Linked DNA regions of Drosophila melanogaster. The protein of the gene in region 1 purifies or fractionates together with the protein of each later gene. This does not show direct contact. Each region holds a gene or a part of one and is shown in the gene's direction. Other genes may lie near its edges.

Evidence for each region.
Region 2: the proteins of usp (region 1) and Utx purify together in Drosophila melanogaster (affinity purification with western blotting; 2 studies listed by BioGRID). This does not show direct contact.

Annotation. Positions count from the first base shown.
Region 1 is NC_004354.4:2,036,920-2,043,977, reverse strand, and holds usp (ultraspiracle), read left to right. Parts: upstream 1-1,666; 5' UTR 1,667-1,931; exon of another isoform or gene 1,932-2,110; intron 2,111-2,333; 5' UTR 2,334-2,517; intron 2,518-2,591; 5' UTR 2,592-3,064; coding exon 3,065-4,591; 3' UTR 4,592-5,180; downstream 5,181-7,058. Other genes in the region: CG4325 (uncharacterized protein), read left to right, coding at 251-372, 565-919. UniProt on the Drosophila melanogaster protein: Receptor for ecdysone. May be an important modulator of insect metamorphosis. Plays an important part in embryonic and post-embryonic development. Binds to ecdysone response elements (ECRES) such as in the promoter region of s15 chorion gene.
Region 2 is NT_033779.5:10,272,812-10,281,449, reverse strand, and holds the start of Utx (Utx histone demethylase), read left to right. Parts: upstream 1-2,638; 5' UTR 2,639-2,751; coding exon 2,752-2,801; intron 2,802-2,853; coding exon 2,854-3,200; intron 3,201-3,524; coding exon 3,525-3,636; intron 3,637-3,898; exon of another isoform or gene 3,899-4,055; intron 4,056-4,288; exon of another isoform or gene 4,289-4,638; intron 4,639-4,882; coding exon 4,883-5,058; intron 5,059-5,337; coding exon 5,338-5,466; intron 5,467-5,527; coding exon 5,528-5,753; intron 5,754-5,820; coding exon 5,821-6,001; intron 6,002-6,062; coding exon 6,063-6,323; intron 6,324-6,383; coding exon 6,384-6,516; intron 6,517-6,581; coding exon 6,582-7,285; intron 7,286-7,344; coding exon 7,345-7,484; intron 7,485-7,567; coding exon 7,568-7,987; intron 7,988-8,043; coding exon 8,044-8,253; intron 8,254-8,327; coding exon 8,328-8,454; intron 8,455-8,543; coding exon 8,544-8,638. Other genes in the region: CG34043 (uncharacterized protein), read left to right, coding at 620-1,069, 1,130-1,397, 1,764-1,817, 1,880-1,930, 2,037-2,090, 2,192-2,331.

The DNA of each region.
Region 1 (7,058 bases):
TAAGGTGGGCTGGCACTGGAGTGCGGCAGTGCAGGGGAGTGCTCGAGAGGGCCGACGAGTGACGACAAGAGGAGGACCGAGTGGAGTGTACTGTGGCTGCCTGGACGCTTATCAGCAAAACGCTCGATTCAGCGACTTGCATTCATTCAGTCCCCTGTCACCGGCCGAGCAACAATACGGCACAGGGAGATCGAACCTGATTGGATCGGAGCGAATCGAATCGACCTAGGTATAAGTCAACCGGAGCGGAATGGGCCGTAACAACGTCATCTGCACGATCTGCTCGGAGCGGTTTCGCACCTCGGACAATATACAAGCCGGCAGCTGCGGACACGCGTTCCACGAGGACTGCCTAGACCACTGGAGAAAGCAGTAAGTAAAAGTGATCCTAAGGACTTGAGAGCTATAACGAAAATGAAATGTGCCACTGATATAATATTCTAATTTATGCACCAATCAGAAATGAAAATGATACAAAAGTGATTTAAATCAGTGGCAGTGCCCCAAATCTTATCGCCGAGCTCAAACGTTTTGTCTTATACGCGGATTCCGTCTGCTTTGCAGATCAAGGACTTGCCCTATCTGCCGCAGCCAGGATGCCGCCTACTTTCAGCTTTATCTGGACTTTGAGGAGTTTCCGGAAAGTGCATCGGCTCAGGGTGGCAGTTGGGGCGGCCATAATCGGAGCCAAGGTCACAGCAGCAGCAGCAGCAGCTGCAGCAGCAACAACAACAACAGTAACGACAACAGCAGCAGTGACGATTATATTGGAATTATGAGGGAGTACGAGAATCTACTTTACGAGACGGGCGTGTACCGAGAAGAGATCGAATATCTTAACCAGCGGATCGGAGCCCTTACTGTCCTCAATGCTGAACTCAGCAAACTACATGAATGTTCGGATTCGGATGTTGATTAAAAGCCGTAAACAAACAAACGAGTCGCATTTGCTTATCGTACTATTCGCCTGAAAACCAATCAAAACCGAATATTTGCGAAACCGACAGGCAAAACGTAATAAGGCTGAGCTAAACAAAAGAACTCGATACATTTCATTATAAAGGAAGCGGTAGGTACAGGGTTAGCAACTAAAGGGTTTGACAAGATAATAGACCCAAATAGAAATAAATTGTTTAGGGCTGAGGCCCCAAATTGCGATATCAGAAAATTAAACTGATAGAAAATATCACATATTAGTGTATTTTTTGTATACCAATAATCAAATAAATATTAAGAATATATGTCCTGAATGTCAATTTTGATGTGAAAACTCTATTTCCATTCCCTTAAACTGTTTTAAAATAAGCTTCTTAATTTGATAGTGTTAAGCAAATTTTTTTCTATATAAATTTTGAATCTCCCATTTTTGTTCTAAACCGGTATCGAATTTTAAGGCAGATGTTAGGGTGCTCTTGAATTACTGAATCCCTGCTTCTTGGTCATCGCGGAAATTCATTTTTTAGAAATTTACTGCGGTCTAACTATCGCATAAATATATAAAATACATAAATATCCATGACGGATTAATTTTCAGATTTTCTGACCATTAAGCGAAGTGGAAACAGCCTATAATGTGCCATTGTTTTTTACCGAACCAAGGCAACTCACCGCGACAGTATACTCACCACAGACAAACCAGTTCTTCGCCCCCCGCAATCGCTTTCTCACCACGCTGTCAGCTGTTGTTTCGCGAAATGCTTCTTCTTGCGAATGCCAATTACCGCGTCGCGTCTCTTTGTGATGATGGGATGGACTCAATTACTACAATTACAATAGAGATTGCAACAAATTAAATCAGCGTCGTGTGGTGTTGTCGTGTCAGTGACGTGCCTGTGTGTGTGTGTGCTCGCGAGCACTGATAACTGATAGCCAAGGAAAAAAGTAAATAAACAACCGTCACCTTGCGGCGCATCAAAAGCCACTGGCTGCAAGTAAGTTGCACTTCCATTTGCATTTCGCCCAATTCTGGTTCCGTTTGGTCTTGGGATTCACGGTTCAGCAGCCTAACCGCTCGATTCTCGGCGACGGCGTTTGCGATTTGAGGCCGAGGTTGCCGCCGGCAGCGGTGAAATTGGCGCACATTCACGTCTCCATTTTGCATTTCTATTCTGCATAATTGCAGCGGCGCTAAATTATTTGTGCACTGTGTGGTTTGCAAGGCGGTGAGGAGGGGAGCCAGACTGACTCAGGGTTGCATGCGCCGTAGGTGCGGTGAGTTTTGCAATGGCGCCGCCAGGGCTGTCGCTACTCCCGTTTTCTGGTTTTCGACTAAATTAATTAATTGATTGATTGCGCATTGGTTATCAAAGTAAAAACACTTATTTTTGCGGCAGGTGCGATGGGCATTAGCGCTTTAATTGGGTCATTAACGCCCACTTAAAACTGTTTCTGTGAGTGGGAAAACAGCCCTGTCCACTTTGTGGTGAATTAGAGATGCGATTGCGCCCAGTCACGAATCCGTGCTTCAATTGGGAGACCGATATATGTACTTATGTCGTGCATTAATTAAAAAGAGGAGTATGTAATTTTATAGATGCGTTATATACCATATGACTTAAGGTAATACCATCGCCGTTGTTAATTTTATACAGTGTTTAACAGTCGTGACTGTGACTCGTGACGACGCAACCTGTGTCACAGTCCATCCCTACGTTGGTGAGTTGCGTCGCTGTGGTGAGATTGTCTTTGTTGAGAAAAAATGTCGACGCGAAAAAAGGTATTTATTCATTAGTCAGAAAGTCTGGCATTCTTTGTTTGTTGGTAAAAAGCGCAATTGTTTGGAGGCGAGCGAATAAAGTGCGCTGCTCCATCGGCTCAAGATTATGTAAATGCAGCAACGACCCCACCAACAACGAAACTGCAACCTGCTCCACTTGGCCCAACGGACCAATAGCGGACGGACGGACACGGTGGCGTTGGCAAAGTGAAACCCCAACAGAGAGGCGAAAGCGAGCCAAGACACACCACATACACACGAAGAGAACGAGCAAGAAGAAACCGGTAGGCGGAGGAGGCGCTGCCCCCAGTTCCTCCAATATACCCAGCACCACATCACAAGCCCAGGATGGACAACTGCGACCAGGACGCCAGCTTTCGGCTGAGCCACATCAAGGAGGAGGTCAAGCCGGACATCTCGCAGCTGAACGACAGCAACAACAGCAGCTTTTCGCCCAAGGCCGAGAGTCCCGTGCCCTTCATGCAGGCCATGTCCATGGTCCACGTGCTGCCCGGCTCCAACTCCGCCAGCTCCAACAACAACAGCGCTGGAGATGCCCAAATGGCGCAGGCGCCCAATTCGGCTGGAGGCTCTGCCGCCGCTGCAGTCCAGCAGCAGTATCCGCCTAACCATCCGCTGAGCGGCAGCAAGCACCTCTGCTCTATTTGCGGGGATCGGGCCAGTGGCAAGCACTACGGCGTGTACAGCTGTGAGGGCTGCAAGGGCTTCTTTAAACGCACAGTGCGCAAGGATCTCACATACGCTTGCAGGGAGAACCGCAACTGCATCATAGACAAGCGGCAGAGGAACCGCTGCCAGTACTGCCGCTACCAGAAGTGCCTAACCTGCGGCATGAAGCGCGAAGCGGTCCAGGAGGAGCGTCAACGCGGCGCCCGCAATGCGGCGGGTAGGCTCAGCGCCAGCGGAGGCGGCAGTAGCGGTCCAGGTTCGGTAGGCGGATCCAGCTCTCAAGGCGGAGGAGGAGGAGGCGGCGTTTCTGGCGGAATGGGCAGCGGCAACGGTTCTGATGACTTCATGACCAATAGCGTGTCCAGGGATTTCTCGATCGAGCGCATCATAGAGGCCGAGCAGCGAGCGGAGACCCAATGCGGCGATCGTGCACTGACGTTCCTGCGCGTTGGTCCCTATTCCACAGTCCAGCCGGACTACAAGGGTGCCGTGTCGGCCCTGTGCCAAGTGGTCAACAAACAGCTCTTCCAGATGGTCGAATACGCGCGCATGATGCCGCACTTTGCCCAGGTGCCGCTGGACGACCAGGTGATTCTGCTGAAAGCCGCTTGGATCGAGCTGCTCATTGCGAACGTGGCCTGGTGCAGCATCGTTTCGCTGGATGACGGCGGTGCCGGCGGCGGGGGCGGTGGACTAGGCCACGATGGCTCCTTTGAGCGACGATCACCGGGCCTTCAGCCCCAGCAGCTGTTCCTCAACCAGAGCTTCTCGTACCATCGCAACAGTGCGATCAAAGCCGGTGTGTCAGCCATCTTCGACCGCATATTGTCGGAGCTGAGTGTAAAGATGAAGCGGCTGAATCTCGACCGACGCGAGCTGTCCTGCTTGAAGGCCATCATACTGTACAACCCGGACATACGCGGGATCAAGAGCCGGGCGGAGATCGAGATGTGCCGCGAGAAGGTGTACGCTTGCCTGGACGAGCACTGCCGCCTGGAACATCCGGGCGACGATGGACGCTTTGCGCAACTGCTGCTGCGTCTGCCCGCTTTGCGATCGATCAGCCTGAAGTGCCAGGATCACCTGTTCCTCTTCCGCATTACCAGCGACCGGCCGCTGGAGGAGCTCTTTCTCGAGCAGCTGGAGGCGCCGCCGCCACCCGGCCTGGCGATGAAACTGGAGTAGGGTCCCGACTCTAAAGTCTCCCCCGTTCTCCATCCGAAAAATGTTTCATTGTGATTGCGTTTGTTTGCATTTCTCCTCTCTATCCCTTATACCCTACAAAAGCCCCCTAATATTACGCAAAATGTGTATGTAATTGTTTATTTTTTTTTTATTACCTAATATTATTATTATTATTGATATAGAAAATGTTTTCCTTAAGATGAAGATTAGCCTCCTCGACGTTTATGTCCCAGTAAACGAAAAACAAACAAAATCCAAAACTTGAAAAGAACACAAAACACGAACGAGAAAATGCACACAAGCAAAGTAAAAGTAAAAGTTAAACTAAAGCTAAACGAGTAAAGATATTAAAATAACGGTTAAAATTAATGCATAGTTATGATCTACAGACGTATGTAAACATACAAATTCAGCATAAATATATATGTCAGCAGGCGCATATCTGCGGTGCTGGCCCCGTTCTAAATCAATTGTAATTACTTTTTAACATAAATTTACCCAAAACGTTATCAATTAGATGCGAGATACAAAAATCACCGACGAAAACCAACAAAATATATCTATGTATAAAAAATATAAACTGCATAACAAGATATATGGTCGTTTTATCTGCGGATCTGCGATTAATCCCATTGTCCACACAAATATATGGCTTTATTTGCGTATATAAGCGGTGCGTTTCAGGACTGTAAGAAGAAATCGAGTGACTTTCTCGAAGGCGGAAATGTATATACATCCATGCCTATTTGCGCGGATGTTTCAATATTTCAGTTTTATTATTATAAATCATACTATGTTCTGTTCCGCCTAACAAGTTTTGTATTACTAGTTAAATTAGTTATTCTGCCGGCCCCTTGGGTGGCTTTCTTTTTTTTTTTAATATATCTGTGATATAATTAGGTGGAGGTAATAAATAAAGTTCACTGCGGAAACTCTTCGAAAATAGCCAGTCTAAATTTAATTCATTTCATTCAAAAGATGATCCCAACGATTTCACGATCTTGTACTTATAATGTGTAAAATGTTAACCAACTAGAAATCCCTTCTATTGTGATTATGAAAGGATCGCTTTTCGCTTTCGAACCGCACTGTACGCCTTGTTCGCGTCCCCTAGGCATTGATTTTTGGTTTGTGGACCATCGCCTGATGGTCCCCACTCCTCACCTTGATGTTGCGGCCTCTCAGATGGCATTTGGTCAATTTTTATAAAATTTATGTCTCAGCGGGAATGTATGTTAGTATGTATTTACAAAAATATGGTATTAACGCACAAGCAGCGACTAAGAATAGATATTGTTTTTGAAAAAAGAACAAAACTCGCCGCTGACGACGCACATTATGTTCTATAAATAGCCAAATTGAGGCTCTATCTCTTTCTATATCGTTGTATCTTATCTGTATATCTCGCCCCAAAGGAATATCTGTAAATTGGGACAAGTCGACGGATACAATACTTAGCCGTCGGAGATCCTGGCTATTTAACATGAACGTATTCTCAGATTCTCCATTCACACAAATGATCTAGAGCTTTTGAAAGCTCCCACACAGAGTGAAAGAGAGGGGTAGAATGTTAGAGAGAGACGGCAGTGTGTCCACACTTATTGTGGGTGGTTTTTATTGGTTTAGCTAATAGCTATCCTTGATTTTGTGTGTGGCGAGCATATTTAATAAATTTCATAAATTTCATCTCTCTCCACCGACAAGAAGAAGCCCACACAAATAGTCCTATGTAGCAGCGTGTTAAAAAATGTGGAATGAAAAATGAAATGTTTCGCACGGAAAAACCATGAAAGCATGCCAATAAAATCATGTGTCCCCTCCCCTCCTCCTCCAAATACCCACCACCATTTCCTTCGACGATTTGCGATTTCGTGTGTGTATTGGAAAAGAGTTTTCGAAGCGAAATTAACAATTTGCTATTTTCGTAGTTATGCGGGGGCGTTTGCCAAAGACCCACGAGGGGACTATGGGTGGATGCTGTCTGAACCGCGGAGACTCGCTGACAGACGAGGAGAAAACCAAGGAGGTGGGGCGTCAGACGCGCTGACGTAGGGGCCAACAAGTTGTTGTCGTCTTCGCATATCGCGCACAGCATACGCCATACAGGGTGCCCCTTTTGAGCTCTCTTACTTTCTTTGCGTTACTTCGTGTCGCCTGCAACTGCATTTTCCTACCAATTTCACTAATGGGCGTCCGTCCGAGAGCTCTCTTCGTCACAGCCGCAGCAAAAGCAAGGGGAGCAGGCAGCACCGCAGCTGCAAATGAGCAAAAAGCAGAAAGAAGGAGTTCGGAACTGGCGATACCCATTGCTTTTAGAAGACAGTCCAATGGCCAGACTATTTGGCTCATACCCAGGTCCTAATTACCTGATCGTTCAACAAACTCATGTTCAGGACATTCGTACATATACGTATATTCATCATAATCAGAATGTATCGGAATTGTGTTGATTTCTAAACGAGACGAG
Region 2 (8,638 bases), on another chromosome or scaffold:
TAAGCTTGCGTAAACAAGAAAATAAATATTACTGCTTATATTAATTGTTCTTATATCTTCCATTAAAACAAATAACAAAAAGAATCTAAAGCTAAGTAAATGAGTTCATTTTAAATCTTTTTAAATCGTTGCCAAGACACATAAAATATTTATTATTACCTTTTTTTCAGTTATTTTAAATTTTTTGCTAACAAATTGGTTCACCCTTTTAACGATTTTCCGTGCTTAGTGAGCTGCCCTCTTAAATTTTTCATTCATTTTATGAAGCCAGACAAACAACAGTGAAACAGTAAAAACATGCGATATAAGATACCAAAAATTTGGGAATCTTTGTACTAATTGTTATCACATAATGAGCGTAATGTTCAGACTACTTCCTCAGTTACACTTCATATCTTCATATATAAAAAAAAGTGTTATTTCGCACACCTGTTTATGCTCAATTATCGCAACTGAATTAAGACCCAAGAATGCGGGTTCCGCTGTACTTAAGCAAATTATATAAAAAGATAAGCTATATCTCTCGGCATCTGTGCATCTGAGGTTGCTTACTATCTTAAACGTGTAAGGAAACCGTGAAGACAGTCAAGATTCTCCCGCCTGCGTAGCCAAAGATACTATGATTTCGGTAGCTCTGATTATCTTGTGCTTTTTTCCGTTCGTGCAAAATGAGTACTTTCGTCCTTCGTACCAAGTCCTTGTGCGCAAAAGGAATACTCAAGGAGATTTGATCGACGGCCATTGCTATGGCAATATCATTCAGAGTCGCTTGGTTTTAACATCAGCATCGTGTTTATTGAGTGATAACGATTTCGTAAATGGTAGGGAATTGTTAAATGCTGATGAGTTGGCGGTATCATTCAAAGGCGAAGATTTGAACGAGTTGATATACCTCGTTGGTGGCATAGACGTATATCCGCAGTTCAATTTCTCATCGTTGGACAATGATATAGCGATCCTAAGTCTCAGTACGCAACTTCCGCTTTCCGAGCGAAACGATATTGAATGGGTTTTAGTCGCTGACTATGATATTACCGATTTTCCATTGGAGGAGGGTGTGGAATCTTACGTAAAAACATATCCTTTTATGTGAAAAACGATTTTATTAATATTAAAATTACTACCACAGGTTTGGAAAAATGCGGATGGAGAAAACATATATCCCGGTTATGGTGTTATTCATGAAAGTAATTTAGTTGGAATCATTTCCTATGGCTTGCCATTGAAAAATAAACGGGAATCTAATCTTGAAGTTCGGCGCCCAAATAGGTTTACGCAATTAAATCCATATTTAAGTTGGATATATACAATAATACAGAATACAGAGATTGCGGACATTCAAAATAACAACTACAGTGTATCTCTACCTTATCGTCAAAGAAAAATCGCAGAAATAGGTAATGTAAACCGAAAGTTATTTGCTATATTTATTTTGTTGTCAAAAGTAGTTTATCGTTTGCGGATTAAGAGAAACAAATAGTTTCGTAGAAACTTTCCTCTGCTTTCCCGAGAAAGATTAACTGCATTTTGATAAGAATATTTCTATGATAAAACTAAAAAGATCCACTTTTAGCCGGAATTTTAAGGTCTAAAATTTATAACGCTTTTCTTTTGGGAAGAAGGGTTATCTTAACACATTTATCAAAAATCAAATAAATATCAAAGGTACTTTACTAAAATTTTTATAAATCCATCAGGAATTTTATTTTTCATTGTTATCTAATTACATATAATTAATTAGTACATTTTTAAATATTTTTCAGTGGAGGAATTCGTTGAGCCTGATGCGGTGTATTTTCCAGACCCAGCAAACCCCAGTAAGTCTAATTTATTCAGTTTTATTTTCTAAAATAACTTTAATTTGAATATTTAATTTCAGTTAAAGATGAGATTGAAACTGAGGTAGAAGATTTGACGGACTCAGAAACTGGTAAGAAAATGAATACGGCTGTTCTACTTCGTAATTACTTTTACAAAATTTTTAAATTTTTTTGTTTTTCCTTTGCTATACTTATTTACCGAGTAATTGTTTTTAGATGCTGTAAACGTGGAAAGCGTCTCAGAAGATTTTTTAAACACGGAGGACCCTTGTAAGTTAATTCATTGTTCTATTGATATTTAAATATTACATTGATTGTTTGAATAATATAGTTTTAATTAAAAACTACCTAAAATTTTGTTTATCTTTCAGTTAATGAAAACATTGAAAGTGAGAAGGAATTCCTAAAAAACCGAGCAAACACATCTAAGGCCAAAGGAGTTTGTGCATGGATATTCACATTTAATTTTCTTCTAGCGATAACTCGCACAATAAATTTCCATTTTTTTTAACTAAATTTTCAATTTATTTTTTGATCTTCAATAAGATCAGTTTCCATAACTTAAATGTATATTTTATCTGAAAAGTATCAAAAGAACTGCATTAAGATTCAAATTTTTAAAACATAAATTGTAAACAGCATCTGTATTGATTTGGTGTATAATAAATTGTTATCAGCTAACGCGAAAATAAAAATTATTTGGTCACAGTTTCCCACAATTTTCCAATCGTTCCAGTTCCGTTATCGATTGCGCAGTGAGAAACTAACTTCAAAAAAGGCGTGACACGTCGACGATAGAAAAATGTATCATCTCTAAGAATATTTTAGTGTCATCTCTAAACTAAAAATATAAATAAAAAAATATTTTAAAAACTACGCTGTATTTTGCCCACGCTTCTAAAACCCAGTAGATTTAACAGTTGGTTTAAAAATGGGGCAACTAACTTTCGAAGATGATTGCCTGATCCGCGAACTGGATAGGTACGATTAATGCCACCCGCTCGAATCTTGTTTAATAATATTTACGTTTCAGTCGATACTACGGCTTTTTGGATTTGTCCAATTCGAAAAATGCGGAATTAAGGAATCTCGTTCAGCAGACCATCACAAACTTACAAAACTACATTGCAAATGGTCAGGTTCACGAATCAAAGAACAGCAGTGATAATAAAAATGCTATACAAAAGTTTGAGCCATCAACTCAAGCAGGTGAACATATGGAAAACACATCTTCCCGAAACAATGACGACACCAAACCTTTCGAGCAAGATGCCAAGGAAAAGGTGTCCATCATTGAAGAAAAACACCAGGATGAACACTACGTTAACGCTCTTTGCAAACTTGGCCACCTGCATCTTCTTCTTGGCGAATACTCCGAAGGTAAATACATAAATCCAGATGCACATGTCCAGATACAATCAGTGCACTCTGCAAATGACATCTATAGGATATATAGGATGCTTGTAGTCCTCACAAATTCATATATTGTGAATATCTGGTTCTTTTACCTTACATAATGTGTCAGGTGGAACAATTGTTTCCAAACTCGGGAACATAGTTGTAGAATGCCGCATTAATGACACACTTTAACATTAAATACTGCTAAACTGCAGAGTACGACGCATAAATAACATAACACTTCAATCCATCACGAGAGATCCTGAAAGAATTGAGTTGTTTTTTAATATCTTATTCTTTTTGTAGCTTTATCAGCGTACCAAAAGTATTTAAGATTCCGAGAAAACAATTACTGGACAAATCATGCATTTATCTATGGAATAGGCGTTGCTTATTTTAAACTTCGGTGCTTTAAATGGTAAGTTTACTTATCTTTTTAATATTTTAACTGCTTAAATATATTTGTTGTATTTAAGAAATATCTTTATGCTACGTTCAAAAACAATTAAGTTATATTTAATAATTAAAACCCATTACATGCGATTTTGATATGAATCGTTTAAACGTAGATGCATGTGCAGTGGAAGCACATTTATTTATCAATTGTAATCATCGATGGCTCTTATCGATGTATACGTTTCGCTTTCATATCGTTCCCATTTAATCACGATATCGCGCCTGTCACATCCCTATTGTATTGATATTAAATTGTTTACTAAATAGATTCTACACGAAACAACACTGCCACTAATATTATATATATATTTGTAAACAATTCACAACGAATTAAAATTAAGACTGCCGAGATTTTTTCGAATAAAAAAAGTGCGTTTACTGGTTAGTTTTGAATCTTTTCATAGTTGTCTGGGTTCTAAAGAAAAAAAAAACAAATGGATGCTGTAAACATTAACACTTACAATAATAATAATTAAACCGATGTAATATTGCCAAAAATTAAAATGAATATATGTGTTTTCATTGTATTCCTTTGTTTGTTTTTGCAAATTCGCTGTTATAAAAATACATAAATTCTCGTTACATGCATGCATGTATGTACACGGTGCGTGTGTGTGCGTGTGTCTGTGTACAAAATGCAATGAGTGCCCCCCTTTAAGGTCGTTAGTTGAATTGCGGGGTAAAATGTGTTCTTTGTTTAATTTTATTAATTTCGAAAGCTAACATTTAGGCAGACCGCGTCCGACGCAAATAATCAATGATTCTCAGTGCAATTCTATCTGATAAAAAGCCATGAAACGGTCTGTCTCGTTTTTTTGAGTGCACGCAGACATGTCTGCCGACACGACGGCTGCAAGTTCTATTGTTATTTATAAACAAAACCTGCATTTTGCAGGCATATTTTAGGAGATTAACATTTAAGTTTACTGTTGTGCACTTATCATCGGAGTTCTAGTTTAATTAAGTATGTTACTTGAATTTGTTTGTTCAAATGGTTATTTGTATGTATGTATGTACATACGCGTGCATGTGTGTACGTGACTGCATGCACATAAGTATGTATGCACTTATGTAAACACCGCTCACTGTAAACAATTACTATAAATTAAATATAAAACAAAATTTAATAAATTAAAATAATACATTCAAGTTATAACAAATAATTCAGAACAACGAATAAAAAAATTAATTTACTTACTTTTTTCCAGGGCCATCAAATCGTTTCAGGAGCTTTTATACCTAAGTCCCAATTTTACATGTGCAAATGAAGTTCATTTGCGTCTAGGTCTTATGCTAAAACACTGCGGGGAGTTCCATATTGCCCTAAAACATTTACAATTGGCGCTGCTTTATACATATCCTTCGACCTTTTCGGAACTTCAGGGTAAGATCTATTGAATAATTATAAACTTTTGCATATAAGTTTCATGTGTAATTAAAACTGTGATCTGAAAAGGTTTTTCTGTTCTTCAGTTATTTACTTATCATCTTAAAATGTTATCTTATTATTGATATATAAACAACTTATATGCAAAAAGTCCTCATACATTGAATTATCAAGTAATACGATGAAGGCAAACTTCTATGATTCATTCAGAATTTAAATATTTTGCAGTACGTTCACCCCGTGTCTTAAACTTTATTCATTATTAATACTTTGCAGTCAAATTTCAAATCGCGCATTTGTACGAAGTTCAAAACAAGCACAAGGCGGCAAAGGATGGCTACGAATTTCTTCTAAATGAGAAAAACATCTCCTTGGAGCTCAAAGCAGATGTTTATCGACAATTAGGTAAGTTAAAAAGTTATATTTTAAGCTGGTAGAGACATAACTTTTTATTGAATCCTTATAGGATGGATGTACCATTGCGTAGAATGCCTAGGCGAAAAAAAGGAACGTGAAGCAAACGCATTAAATTTTCTACAAAAATCAATCGAAGCTGACCCAAAGAGTGGACAATCATTATATTTACTAGGAAGGTGTTACGCCGGCATCAATAAGGTTCATGATGCTTTCCTAGCATATCGCAACTCGGTGGAAAAAAGTGAGGGGAATGCTGATACTTGGTGCTCAATCGGGTAAAATAACAATGAATGTGTTTAGCTTGGCCCCTATCTTATTTGTATTCTACACATGCACTTCTAGCGTCTTATATCAGCAACAAAATCAACCCACGGATGCCCTTCAAGCCTACATATGTGCTGTGCAACTGGATAAAGACCATAAAGCCGCGTGGACCAACCTGGGTATACTTTATGAGAGCTGTGGTCAATTACGAGATGCCTATGCTTGCTACTTAAATGCAACCAAACAAATATCATTCCAGGTAAATTTATATATGCAATTGTAGCCATTTCCAATACCTAACACACTTGTTTTGCTTGAAGAAGTCTTCGTTAATTCGAAAAAAACAAGCAATACGTATGAAAAAGGACACAATTGGACTGTCGAAAGGCCTGTCTCAGAGAATCACTTTCCTGGAGGGCCAGCTCAGTCAAGCACCATTGCCAAGTATTACATCCAAGCGCCGCCAGCTGTGTTCAATCGAAGAAGCTTGGAACCTGCCAATATCATTAGAAATGAACTCTCGCCAACAACAAACAGCGCAGATGCTACCAAGACAGGTCACAAAGCAAAGTCCAGTACAGGTGAATTCCTTAATCCTAAACCAATCAGTGGGCAATCAACTAAATCATGTTTTTAAACAGGGACCGCCACCACCTTATCCGCATAGCCAACTCAGCCAAAGTCCCATACCTTCGAAACGTATTAAGGAAGATGGCACAAGCCAACAAGAAGTAACACAAAACAACAGTCAGACATCAGCGCAAAATCTAATAAGTAAGTGACCAATTTAAATAGTATATATCTTAAAGTATTAAATCACTTTTTAACACTCCAAACAGACATTTCGGAATCTTTAAACCAGCGCAACTTCAACGCCATGCCGGAGAGCAACAAAAGTTCGGAGCAAAGTGTTCTTGACACCTTCGACGACATCTCGAATGATATTTATAAACAGAATGAGAGCATCAAGCTCGAACGTTTGAGCCAGGATGCACTGAGTAACAATGAGGACTCGAGGCATGATTTTATTGGCGGTGACAACGCCGACATCTCGACCACGTTCAAAATACAAATGGACTCGAAGCAGTTGATGGTAGCTGTGAAGCTGCTGCCGATTGATGAACCGCCCGTGCACTGTACCATTTTGCAAGTGAATGCGCCGCCGCCATCTCCGCCCGATTGCCCACCGCAGAAACTGACGCGAGATCAACTCCTGCCTCCCACACCCTCTGTTCATTTAGAAAATAAGAAGCACGCGTTCAGCCCACAGTTGCAGGAGTTTTGCCTGAAACATCCGATTGCCGTTGTACGCGGCTTAGCGGGCGTCTTGAAGCTAGATCTCGGTCTCTTTTCGACCAAAACGTTGGTGGAAGCCAACCCGGACCATAGTGTTGAGGTTCGGACACAAGTGCACCAGTCTCCCGATGAAAATTGGGACACTTCGCAGGGTAAGCGCGTCTGGGCCTGCATTTCCCATCGGTCTCACACAACCATAGCCAAATATGCCCAATATCAGGCATCCAGTTTTCAAGACAGCTTGAAGGTAATGTTCGTTGGGTTGGTTCCTCTTTAACATGAATACAAGTTTACTTTATCGTGTAGCTTATTTTACCGCAGGATGAAAGCGATAAAGGTTTCCCCGGCTCGCAAGCAATGTCGGATTCAGACTCAAAGGACTCGGTATCCAATTCGAACATTGTTCTCAAACGTAAAAAACACAAAATAAACAGCAAAATGTTGAGGTAATAGAAACTCCAAACCATTTATGTCTGCATTACGAACTTTATGAACATAAATTAAATGCTTATTTCGCTTTTTTTTTTAGGTTCGGGACCAACGTGGACCTCTCCGATGAAAAGAAATGGAAACCACAATTAACAGAGCTACAAAAACTGCCAGCTTTTGCGCGAGTTATATCCGCTGCCAATATGCTATCACACGTGGGCCACGTCATTTTGGGCATGAACACCGTTCAGCTGTACATGAAGGTGCCCGGAAGTAGGACGCCTGGCCACCAAGAGAACAACAACTTCTGCTCAATCAACATCAACATCGGTCCTGGCGACTGTGAATGGTTTGCCGTCCCTGACGCCTACTGGGGCGGAGTTCACAATCTTTGCGAGAAGAACAACATTAGCTATCTGCACGGCTCGTGGTGGCCCGTCCTGGAGGATTTATACAAGGAGAATATACCAGTTTATAGATTTATACAAAAGCCCGGTGACTTGGTTTGGGTGAATGCCGGGTAAGCACTGAATATGAAAGGAAGGATGATGTATTAACAATCAAACCTACTTTCAGATGCGTCCATTGGGTTCAGTCGATCGGTTGGTGCAACAACATTGCGTGGAATGTTGGACCCTTGACTGCCCGTCAGTATTCTCTTGCCATCGAGCGATATGAGTGGAATAAAGTGCAGGCCTTCAAGAGCATTGTGCCGATGGTGCATTTAAGCTGGAATCTTGCAAGGAATATTAAAGTGTCTGATACCAAACTTTTCGAGCTGATAAAGTGAGTTAGCAAATGATAGGAATCACCATTATGCAGATACTATAGGGCATACATATGTAATTTGTAATTTTCAGAATGTGTTTGCTGCAAACGTTGAAAAACGTATTGCACATACAAGAGTATGTCAAATCGAAAGGTGTGGAAATACGTTTCAATGGACGCGGAAAGAACGAAGCATCCCATTACTGCGGACAATGCGAGGTATTTAGCGTAGTATTATTAACATATTTATACAGTTTCCAAAGGTGATATGAATGCAGTTTATTTAATCATTTGTGCACTCTTTGCAGGTTGAGGTTTTCAATGTGCTGTTCATCAAGGAGCAGGAGAAACGACATGTGGTCCACTGCCTATCGTGCGCGCTGAAGCTATCTCCGTCGCTCCA